Linked DNA regions of Caenorhabditis elegans. The protein of the gene in region 1 purifies or fractionates together with the protein of each later gene. This does not show direct contact. Each region holds a gene or a part of one and is shown in the gene's direction. Other genes may lie near its edges.

What was found.
Region 2: the proteins of mrps-17 (region 1) and nhr-37 fractionate together in Caenorhabditis elegans (co-fractionation; one large-scale study listed by BioGRID). This does not show direct contact.

What each region holds. Positions count from the first base shown.
Region 1 is NC_003281.10:6,430,218-6,433,591, reverse strand, and holds mrps-17 (Small ribosomal subunit protein uS17m), read left to right. Parts: upstream 1-1,793; 5' UTR 1,794-1,799; coding exon 1,800-1,904; intron 1,905-1,952; coding exon 1,953-2,032; intron 2,033-2,141; coding exon 2,142-2,439; 3' UTR 2,440-2,550; downstream 2,551-3,374. Other genes in the region: vps-16 (Vacuolar protein sorting-associated protein 16 homolog), read right to left, coding at 1-48, 101-186, 257-351; txdc-9 (Thioredoxin domain-containing protein 9), read right to left, coding at 614-805, 934-1,279, 1,323-1,411; Ribonucleases P/MRP protein subunit popl-1, read left to right, coding at 2,691-2,753, 2,802-3,020, 3,068-3,262.
Region 2 is NC_003283.11:6,620,398-6,625,442, forward strand, and holds nhr-37 (Nuclear Hormone Receptor family), read left to right. Parts: upstream 1-1,796; 5' UTR 1,797-1,870; coding exon 1,871-2,040; intron 2,041-2,089; coding exon 2,090-2,148; intron 2,149-2,742; coding exon 2,743-2,804; intron 2,805-2,856; coding exon 2,857-3,051; exon of another isoform or gene 3,052-3,058; intron 3,059-3,104; coding exon 3,105-3,410; intron 3,411-3,457; coding exon 3,458-3,552; intron 3,553-3,798; coding exon 3,799-3,914; intron 3,915-3,961; coding exon 3,962-4,113; intron 4,114-4,161; coding exon 4,162-4,260; 3' UTR 4,261-4,379; downstream 4,380-5,045. Other genes in the region: ppt-1 (Palmitoyl-protein thioesterase 1), read right to left, coding at 4,380-4,577, 4,790-4,888.

The sequences.
Region 1 (3,374 bases):
TTCTGATCCAAATGTACCAGGAAGCTGGACGAGGAGAATATGCGACAGCTGAAAATTTGATACGTTTTGTATTTAAAATTTAATAGTAAGAAAAAATTACCGATTGGACCTGAGAATTGGCAAGCCGTAAAGTAAACGACATATTTGAGATTTAACGAGTTTGTTCGTAGATACTCTTGTGTGAAACTGAAACCGAAGTGTTCGAAAAGTTTCGAAGTTTGGGAAGCCCGTGTAATGCCGAAAAATTTAAACTTACTACAGCTGTTGATCTCCCAAAAACACTGAACTACTCGGACGAAGACACAACTCTCCATCTAGTTTTGGTTTTGATGGAGCATGAGACTCCCCCATTTCTGGAAATACATTATCTTAATATCTAAAATACTTATTTTACATTAAAAATAATTCTGGATATTAACCGAACGGCTATTTTTCATTTTTCAAAGGATAATATGCTCTTTATTTGCGATTACGAAATTGTGAAAAAGGTAGATAAAACAGCAAACACGGGAGGAGGAAAGCGAAAAAATGGGAAATTATGTGAGATCAAAATGCACATAATTATCAGCAAATGAGAATATGAAAACAAGAAAAAATCATCTTAAGATGGCATCTACCAATCCTCTTCGTTATCGTACTCCTCAACTCCTGATCTAATGATTTTCTTTTTTGCAGGAGCTGTATGCTTCTTCTCGACAGTCAATACTTCAGATCGAGCCAATCGGTTTTCCATGGTCTCGGTGGTAAACTCATCTTTTCCTCCCAATTCATCAAATCCACGAATGTAATCGACGGTTTGTTGCTTCTAAATTTATTTTTTTTTAACTAAATAATCTGGTACAGATGCCAACAAAACTCTATGAAACTAGTCAGATTTGAATTATACAACTTCAGAAAAAAAAATACTATAGCAGGAACCACATTCAAACTTACCACGACGATAGCGATGCTTGGAATGACACGAATATTGAGACGAGTTGTCAGGAAATGAACCTTCTCGGCGTTGACATGTATGAATCGTGTTCCAACATGCTTTCTAGCCAAGATCTCGAAATGCTTATCCACAATTTTGCATCGGAAGTTTCCAGGTAAGTAGAAAAGACAGACAACTTTATCGCTTTTCTTTGTAGCTTCGAAGAACTCCTTCTCGTCAGCAACTTCCTCGTATTTTCCGTGCCCATGAGACAACATCTCAATTCTGTCTTTTTGAGCTTTCTTCATTTGTTCCATCCGTTGACGACGAATTACCTCAAGATCGTCTTCTTCTAGGTTCTCAAGTCTAAAAACACACATGACAAACAGTTTCTACATTTCAAAATTACTTATTCATCTCCTGGTCGATCTGTTCCTCGACAACTTGAGCTGCTCGTAAAAGCTGCTCCCCAAACTGCTGTTGAATATTAGCGGCCATTTTCTGAAAAATTTAACAGAATTAAATTCAAAATTTAGGAAATTGGAAAGGGAAGACGGCATAATAAGAGCGGAATAAGAGGCATATGACCACCTGGAATTCTAATTACACCCTTTTTATGCCTGAAGGACCATAAAAATCGATAATGAGAAGCTACGAGAATGTTTGGAAATTCCATGAATTTATTCCAAACAATTATTTCTAGCTGTTCAGTAGAGCACACTTGTATGCTTGCACGAAACTGTGCAAACACCATCACGTCAGAATGCACACACACTTGGCAACAATTTTAATTAAATTTTATTCTTAATTTTCAGTTTTTTCGGTTCAGTTTGTATTTAAAAATAATTATTTTGATTTAATTCTTCTATTATTTATTGTGTTTCAGATGCCGAAGACCTCTGTGTGGAAAACGCGCGTTGGAACGCAAATTTTGATGGGTAAAATCACCGACATCACTCAAATTGGAATTGATAGAATTCCATGTGCTCAAGTTGGTTCAATTCTTGAAGACTTTTCGAAGTGTATTGTATTATTTTAGGTAAGATGTCAGATGAACGAATTCAACATCTATCTGAAGAAATATTTCGCCCGATCGTTCGACTTCTGGGCTCTCGACAAGTGAGTTTAAAAATAAGTTGTTTAAAATACCTGTTTTAGAATTACTGCATTTTCTCTGAACTGAATTTATCAATGTGAGAATTACATTTCAAAATTGAAAACATTTTAGAACATCACTTGGAAACATCGGAGATACAGTGCTCATCAAGCAGATCGATGGTTCTTCCCGCCCAAAGGCCAACGTCTCTCATGCTGTTGACCGTGTAGTGTTTAAATTCGGAAACATTGTCGATCCAGTCACAGGACGCAAAATATTCAACGACACATTCGCCGATGAGATTGATTTGAAGAAGGTTTTAGTGGAAGAAGTTGTGGATAAACCATTAGAAGAAGAATCAATGCTATTTGAAGAGAGAAGAGCCCTACAGATCAGAAGATTAGAACAGGAAAAAGAGGCAAATGTGTAGTTTTTGAATGTTCTGAATTTAGACGTTTGATCTGTTTTTACTTTTTGGGAATAGTTAGTTCGTTGTTGTTTATTGTTTGTCGATATTTACATTCAAAAATGAAATGTTTCTTTAAATTTTATTTTTAAAACTTTATACTTCAAGGTTGACTTGATCCTTGTATATTTTTCCAAATTATTTTTTATAATTTTATAACTACAAGTAAATTCAAATTCAAGATGGACATCTCACGTCCGGTGGTTGAGAAACCTATGTTTATAGAAGTCGAAAAGTTCGTGGAAGCTCGAACAAATTCCATTGCACAGCTACTAAAGGTAATTTTTACAACTATAATCTTCAATTCTTCCAAATTTAATTTTCAGGCTATTGACAATGACGCCCTTGTGTCTGGTGAAGTCACAAAAGGTCCAAGAACTGCTGCTCAAAGATTGCCACGTCACATGAGAAGAAGAGCGATGGCATACGATATTCGTCGATTTCCAAGAACAATGAGAGAGTTTGCAGCAGCACATTTAATTTCAAAACATGCTAAAAAGTGTCCAAGTCGGTTTGCGAGACGAAAAAGTGCAAATTCTCGAACAGTAAGAACCCAAATTAACTAAATACTAAATTGCTCGTTTTTTTCCAGAAATTTGGCAGAAGCACCAGTACAAAAGGTATCTGGCTCTCGACACATGTTTGGCATGCGAAAAGATTTCGAATGATTCAAAAATGGGGTTTCAAACTCGCGGATCGCAGCTTTCAACGTGGATTTCGAGCAGTTTTAAGAGATTCTAACAAGAATTGTGTGATTCGAGATAGATCATATTATACATGTGTTACTGTAAGTATTGAAACCAAAGAAAACATTAAGTATTTAGACGTCTAGATTTTTTTCCTCTTAACATTTAACATAAAATTTAGAAAAAAATCTAACATTTTCGTTTTCCCTATAT
Region 2 (5,045 bases), on another chromosome or scaffold:
ACCGAGATATGAGCCGTCAAAGTAAAGCAATTGGGGTACAAATCCAGTAGGGAAAATATGGTAGACTTGTTAACTTGAAATTAGTCTTCAGTTTATGTACTATAGGACTAAACTTATTTGTATTTATTTTTTTTTAACTTGAGGGAATAGTTTTCCTTGACATGCATACTTAATAAAGCGGTGAATTGAATTTATATGAATAACATTGTTGTACTAGTTGTTACTTTGATGCTACTTTTGCAAATTGACAAAATATCATGATATCTCGGAAAATATGCGAACTACATATTTGGCAAATTTATTACTCATCGGGTAAGAAAATCGGAGAAAACATATCTGATGTCTATCAACTGATCTAAATGAATAGAAAAATGATTGTTCCCAATTGAATCAGTCTAGATCAGGAACTTTTGAAACATATATACAGTTATATGCCCTAAAAATGAACAACTTTCCCCGTCAACAGACACAATATTTTTCTCTTTTTCTGGTCTCCATGTCCTATTTCATGAGTCAAGTGTTGTAGAGGGCGACGATAAGACATCGGGCCCAAACGCATTAACGAATCATCTTGCGGGTCGGGAGGCGGGATCTGTCAAAAGTTTGCAGCGTTTGGCAAAGGTTCGAGGCTGGCAATGAAGATGCAAGGATGGTGGACGGCTACCTGCAGATGACAGTCTATCGGAGACGCAGACTAATCAGATGACATTAGTCTTTTGAAAGTTTTGCGGAAGTCCAATTCGGCGAACACAGGTCGCGTGTGAATCGATGCTCGTAGACCGAGTAGCAATTGACAGCTAGAGATTGACAATTTATGAAGAGACGCAGACAGATGTGAACATAGAAACGACAAAAGACATACATGTTTCGAATTAGATGGACAAGATCGGTTGCCTCTATATAAAGTAGCTCAACGTATTTTATCCAAAATTCTAAATCGGTCACTATCAATCTAGCAATTCTAAAATGTTTTTGTTTCTGATTTTCCGCAATTCCATCGAAGTTACAATTTTGACTTAAAATTTTCTATCACAAATCATGTACCAATGTGTGCACTTTTAAAAAAATTGTACAATGTATGTAGCAGTAATCAGAAGGGGATTGTTTTCCTATAAAATTCAAGAAAACCCAAAATTCTCACATTCCGAAAATCTTTTTTTTCTGACTTTTTTCCTTTTTGGTTCATCGAACATAAAAACATTTTGAAACAAATTTTTGAGGTGGTCTTTTCAAGTGGAAAGTAAATTCAAAATCTTTTATCATCAGATCGAATATGAAATTTCTGAGTTTTCTATTTTAAGAACTTTCAGTATCTATAGTATCCCTAGGCACATTTTTAAAACGTTTCATACAACTCCAGCTAAAGTTTTCTGAAAATACGGTTAGCCAAATTCACCACTTCATCCTGATAATTGTCATTATGCTTTTCCTTCCACTACAACTAGACTATCTCTTTTCGGAAGGGGGTGAGATTTTAATTGTTTGTCTGAGATTCCTACGTCTTCGACCAGCGTAACGATCAGAGAACATGCCGACATGACGTCTTCCCCCAGCCGAAAATGTCTCTCTTCTGATCTTGCCTTACATGTGAAGAAAAGTACCAAAAAATTGCTGTGATAACTTTGTGATTTGAGGCTGGGTTTTCAGTCTCAAAATTTGACATGTAGGTACGTTCATTTTTCCTTCAAGTTTCCCTCTTTTTTTTTCTCAAATATAAACCCTTTTCGGTGGTCACTTGATCTTTTCCTCTCCTCTCTACGTTTTTCATTTCTCTAATAACATATCTGGTAGAGATCTCTTAGAATGACAACACCCAATTTGCATATTACAAAATGATGATCACACTTTTTTTCCTTCTCAGAATCTAAAAATGGTACCTGACAAGTCATGCTTGGTTTGCAAAAAAGCTTCAAATGGAATGCATTTCGGTGCACTCACCTGCCGAGCGTGCGCCGCATTCTTTCGAAGGGCTACTGTACTGAAATTACAGTATAAATGTAAGCAGGGGAATTCAAAATGCAATATTGATGGTCGTGGAAGGTGAGTTACTATAGTCTTCAAAATCAGAAAATTCACGTTTTGTTTATAGATATGTCTGCCGGCAGTGTCGTCTGACAAAGTGCAAAGCAATCGGGATGAATGAAGAGAGTATGTTTTTTTTTCCAAAAAAATAAAAACTTGCAAGATTTTCAAGTGCATATCGTGCACATCAAAAAATTTTACATCAAAAGTTTTTGTGAAAAATTGTTGCGAAAATTGGTTTGACAAATTTTCAAAAACTTCATGTGAATAGGTTTTGTGGAATACGCAGAAAAATAATTTTTTCTGAAAAATAAAAAATCCTAACAAAATTTCTAGATCATCTCTATGTTTGATTTTTACTCTTTAGGCTTAGAAAGGATTTTTTCCGAAGTCCGAAAATTACAAAAATATTCCAAAGGTTTTTTTTATAGCTTAAATAATTTCAAAATGAGGGCATTAAATACAAAAGTGCCCTATTTCCTTTTTTTACATAATGTTGAATTTTGAAAATTGCTAAAAATCACCACTCATTTTTGCTAGTGGTGAAATAACTAAATCCTTTCCAAAACACAAATAAAATTTCAATTACTGTCAAAAATTTTGCTGCCATTCTTTTGGAATTTAACCAAAAGCGTTTTTTTCTGCAAATTTTACAGAGTCCAATTATTTTTCTCTTCTTTTTTTCTCTTCTTTTTCTAGTAAAATATACTCATTTTTCAGAAGTTCAATTGGACTATGACCCAACGTACTCGTTTCGCGGTTTGATGGAGGATAGTGGAAGTGTGAGTTTTGTTTTTTAAATTAAAAACAATTATTTTATTTACTACATTTCAGGACGAATTCTCTACGCCAAATGGAAGCCCAGCTCAATCTGATTACAGCCCGACCAACTTGAGCCGGAAGAACTCGGTGGAGTCACCTGGAATTGATCCGAACTTTTTGTTCACCTTCTCGCCAAAAACACCGGATAAGCCGAACATGGTTATCAGTTTTAATGACTTGGTGAAGAAAATTGAAACGTCATTTTCGGTAAGTTGAAGCGAAAAACATTGAAAGTGAAAATTTTGTTATTTTATGTTCAGCATAAAACAAAAGGCGACGATTGTGAACTGACTACTTTGACGTCTGCATTGAAAAAGTTTAGGAAAAATCAAAAAGCTCAAAGTCAAATCTCTTTTCTTGACAAAGTCGAGCTGAAATCTGCTATTGATTGGCTCAATGATCGAATCTATATGTACTCTTGTTGGTTTTCCTCTTCAAAATCTTTAATGTCTCTACCCATGGATCAAAAAATGCAGCTCTTCCGATCTTCTTGGAATGTCGTTAGAACATTTGAGCGCCTAGAAATGTCTGTCAAGATTTTTGAAGAAGGAGTCATTCGAGGAGGAGTGAGAATAGTTTTTAATTATTTTTAAAAATATCAACTGTTTTTCAGTATATACTTATCAATGATGATCTCGCAATGAAATTGGAATCAACTCATATTGACTTTGCCTCGATAACTGATCTCACGAATCAATATTTCAACAAGTGAGTTTTCTGTTTCAAAAACTTTGAAATGCCCACAATTCGCTGATTGAAATTTGTCAATGTTCTGAAAAGCCTACTCAAAGTTGCGTTGGTTTTAGGATCACATTTTGATACAGCATTTTCTTTACTATAAAATTAATTGAAATACTGAAAATTCAACAAAACAATTTTTGCCGCTATGTCGAGAAAGATATAATGATGAAAAATCTTTGAACATTTTTATATTTGTATTTTTGTAATTTTCAGACTATTCGAACCCTTCCTACACCGTTACATAGATGAAGTTGCAAGGCCACTTCTTGATCTCAAGCCAACTACGGAAGAAGTCGTTTTTTGTATGGTTCACCTTATTGGACTTGAAGGTAAAAAAAAAAAACATCAATCAAATTTTTATTAACTTTAATTTTAGAAGGTGATCTTTCTCATGAAACACGAGAAGCTTGCGAACAAATGCGAGCAGAAATTGCTGACCAAATGCACGTTTATTATACAAATCGGACGGATATCAAAATGTATTCTCATCGGCTTCTGATTCTTATGAAACTGGTCAAATCCATGAAGGTTTGCCAAATTTTTTTTTAAGTTTTCTGATTTTCCCCCTATTTTTAGAGAATCTCTCGTGAGAAATCAAAGATCAAGGAGCTCTTCTGGCTTTTTGACATCTTTCATGCCGAAATCTCGGAGCCGTATTTTTTCGAGATGTTTTAGAAAATGATGGGAACCCAAATCAAGAAAATGCTCACACAACCAGTCATGATAATTTCATAATTCATTTTTACGTACGAGTTTTACAATACGAGTTGTTTCTTTTTGAAAATCAAACAAGTTCACATAAAATATTTTTTGATAATATCGTTGACAAGCACACTTCTTGGAATTTGCAAGTGATCTCCATCCACGTCCATAAAATGGATTCGTCCACTCTCATGAAGCTTCTTCAATCCAATACGATCCTCTTTGTACAGGTCGGTTTCGTTCATTGGGAGAATTGTGTCAATATCACCGTCTTTGTAGAACCCGAACCACTGGAATAAATTATTGAGACTTTATAAAATATTTCAGCGTGAGAACCGTGACAGGTGGTACAAAATGTCTGTTGCCTGTGTGGCTCTTTGTACCCATTAGAATGAGAATACTCGGGAAAACTCCGGCCTGCATTAACAAGCTTTTGGCGACCCTCGCCTATAGGCGACTATAGTCTACTTTCGGAAACTGCAAAACAAAAAAAACCACTCACAGATGAATCCTTTGGTACAACCATATGATCTTGATTGAATTTCACCAGAACCAGGTTTTTGAGACTCAATAAGTTGCGTTTGTAAGTCGGGTTGTTATTCTGAAACAAAAATACTTTTTTTTTCAATTATTTTAATGATTACGATTTTCTAACGATTTTGAAATTCAAATGTCAACCGGCAGGAATAATTTTTAGAAAAGAAAATAAAGCACCACCGTTCATTAAACTAATCCCGGCGCATCTTTTTACAGAAAAA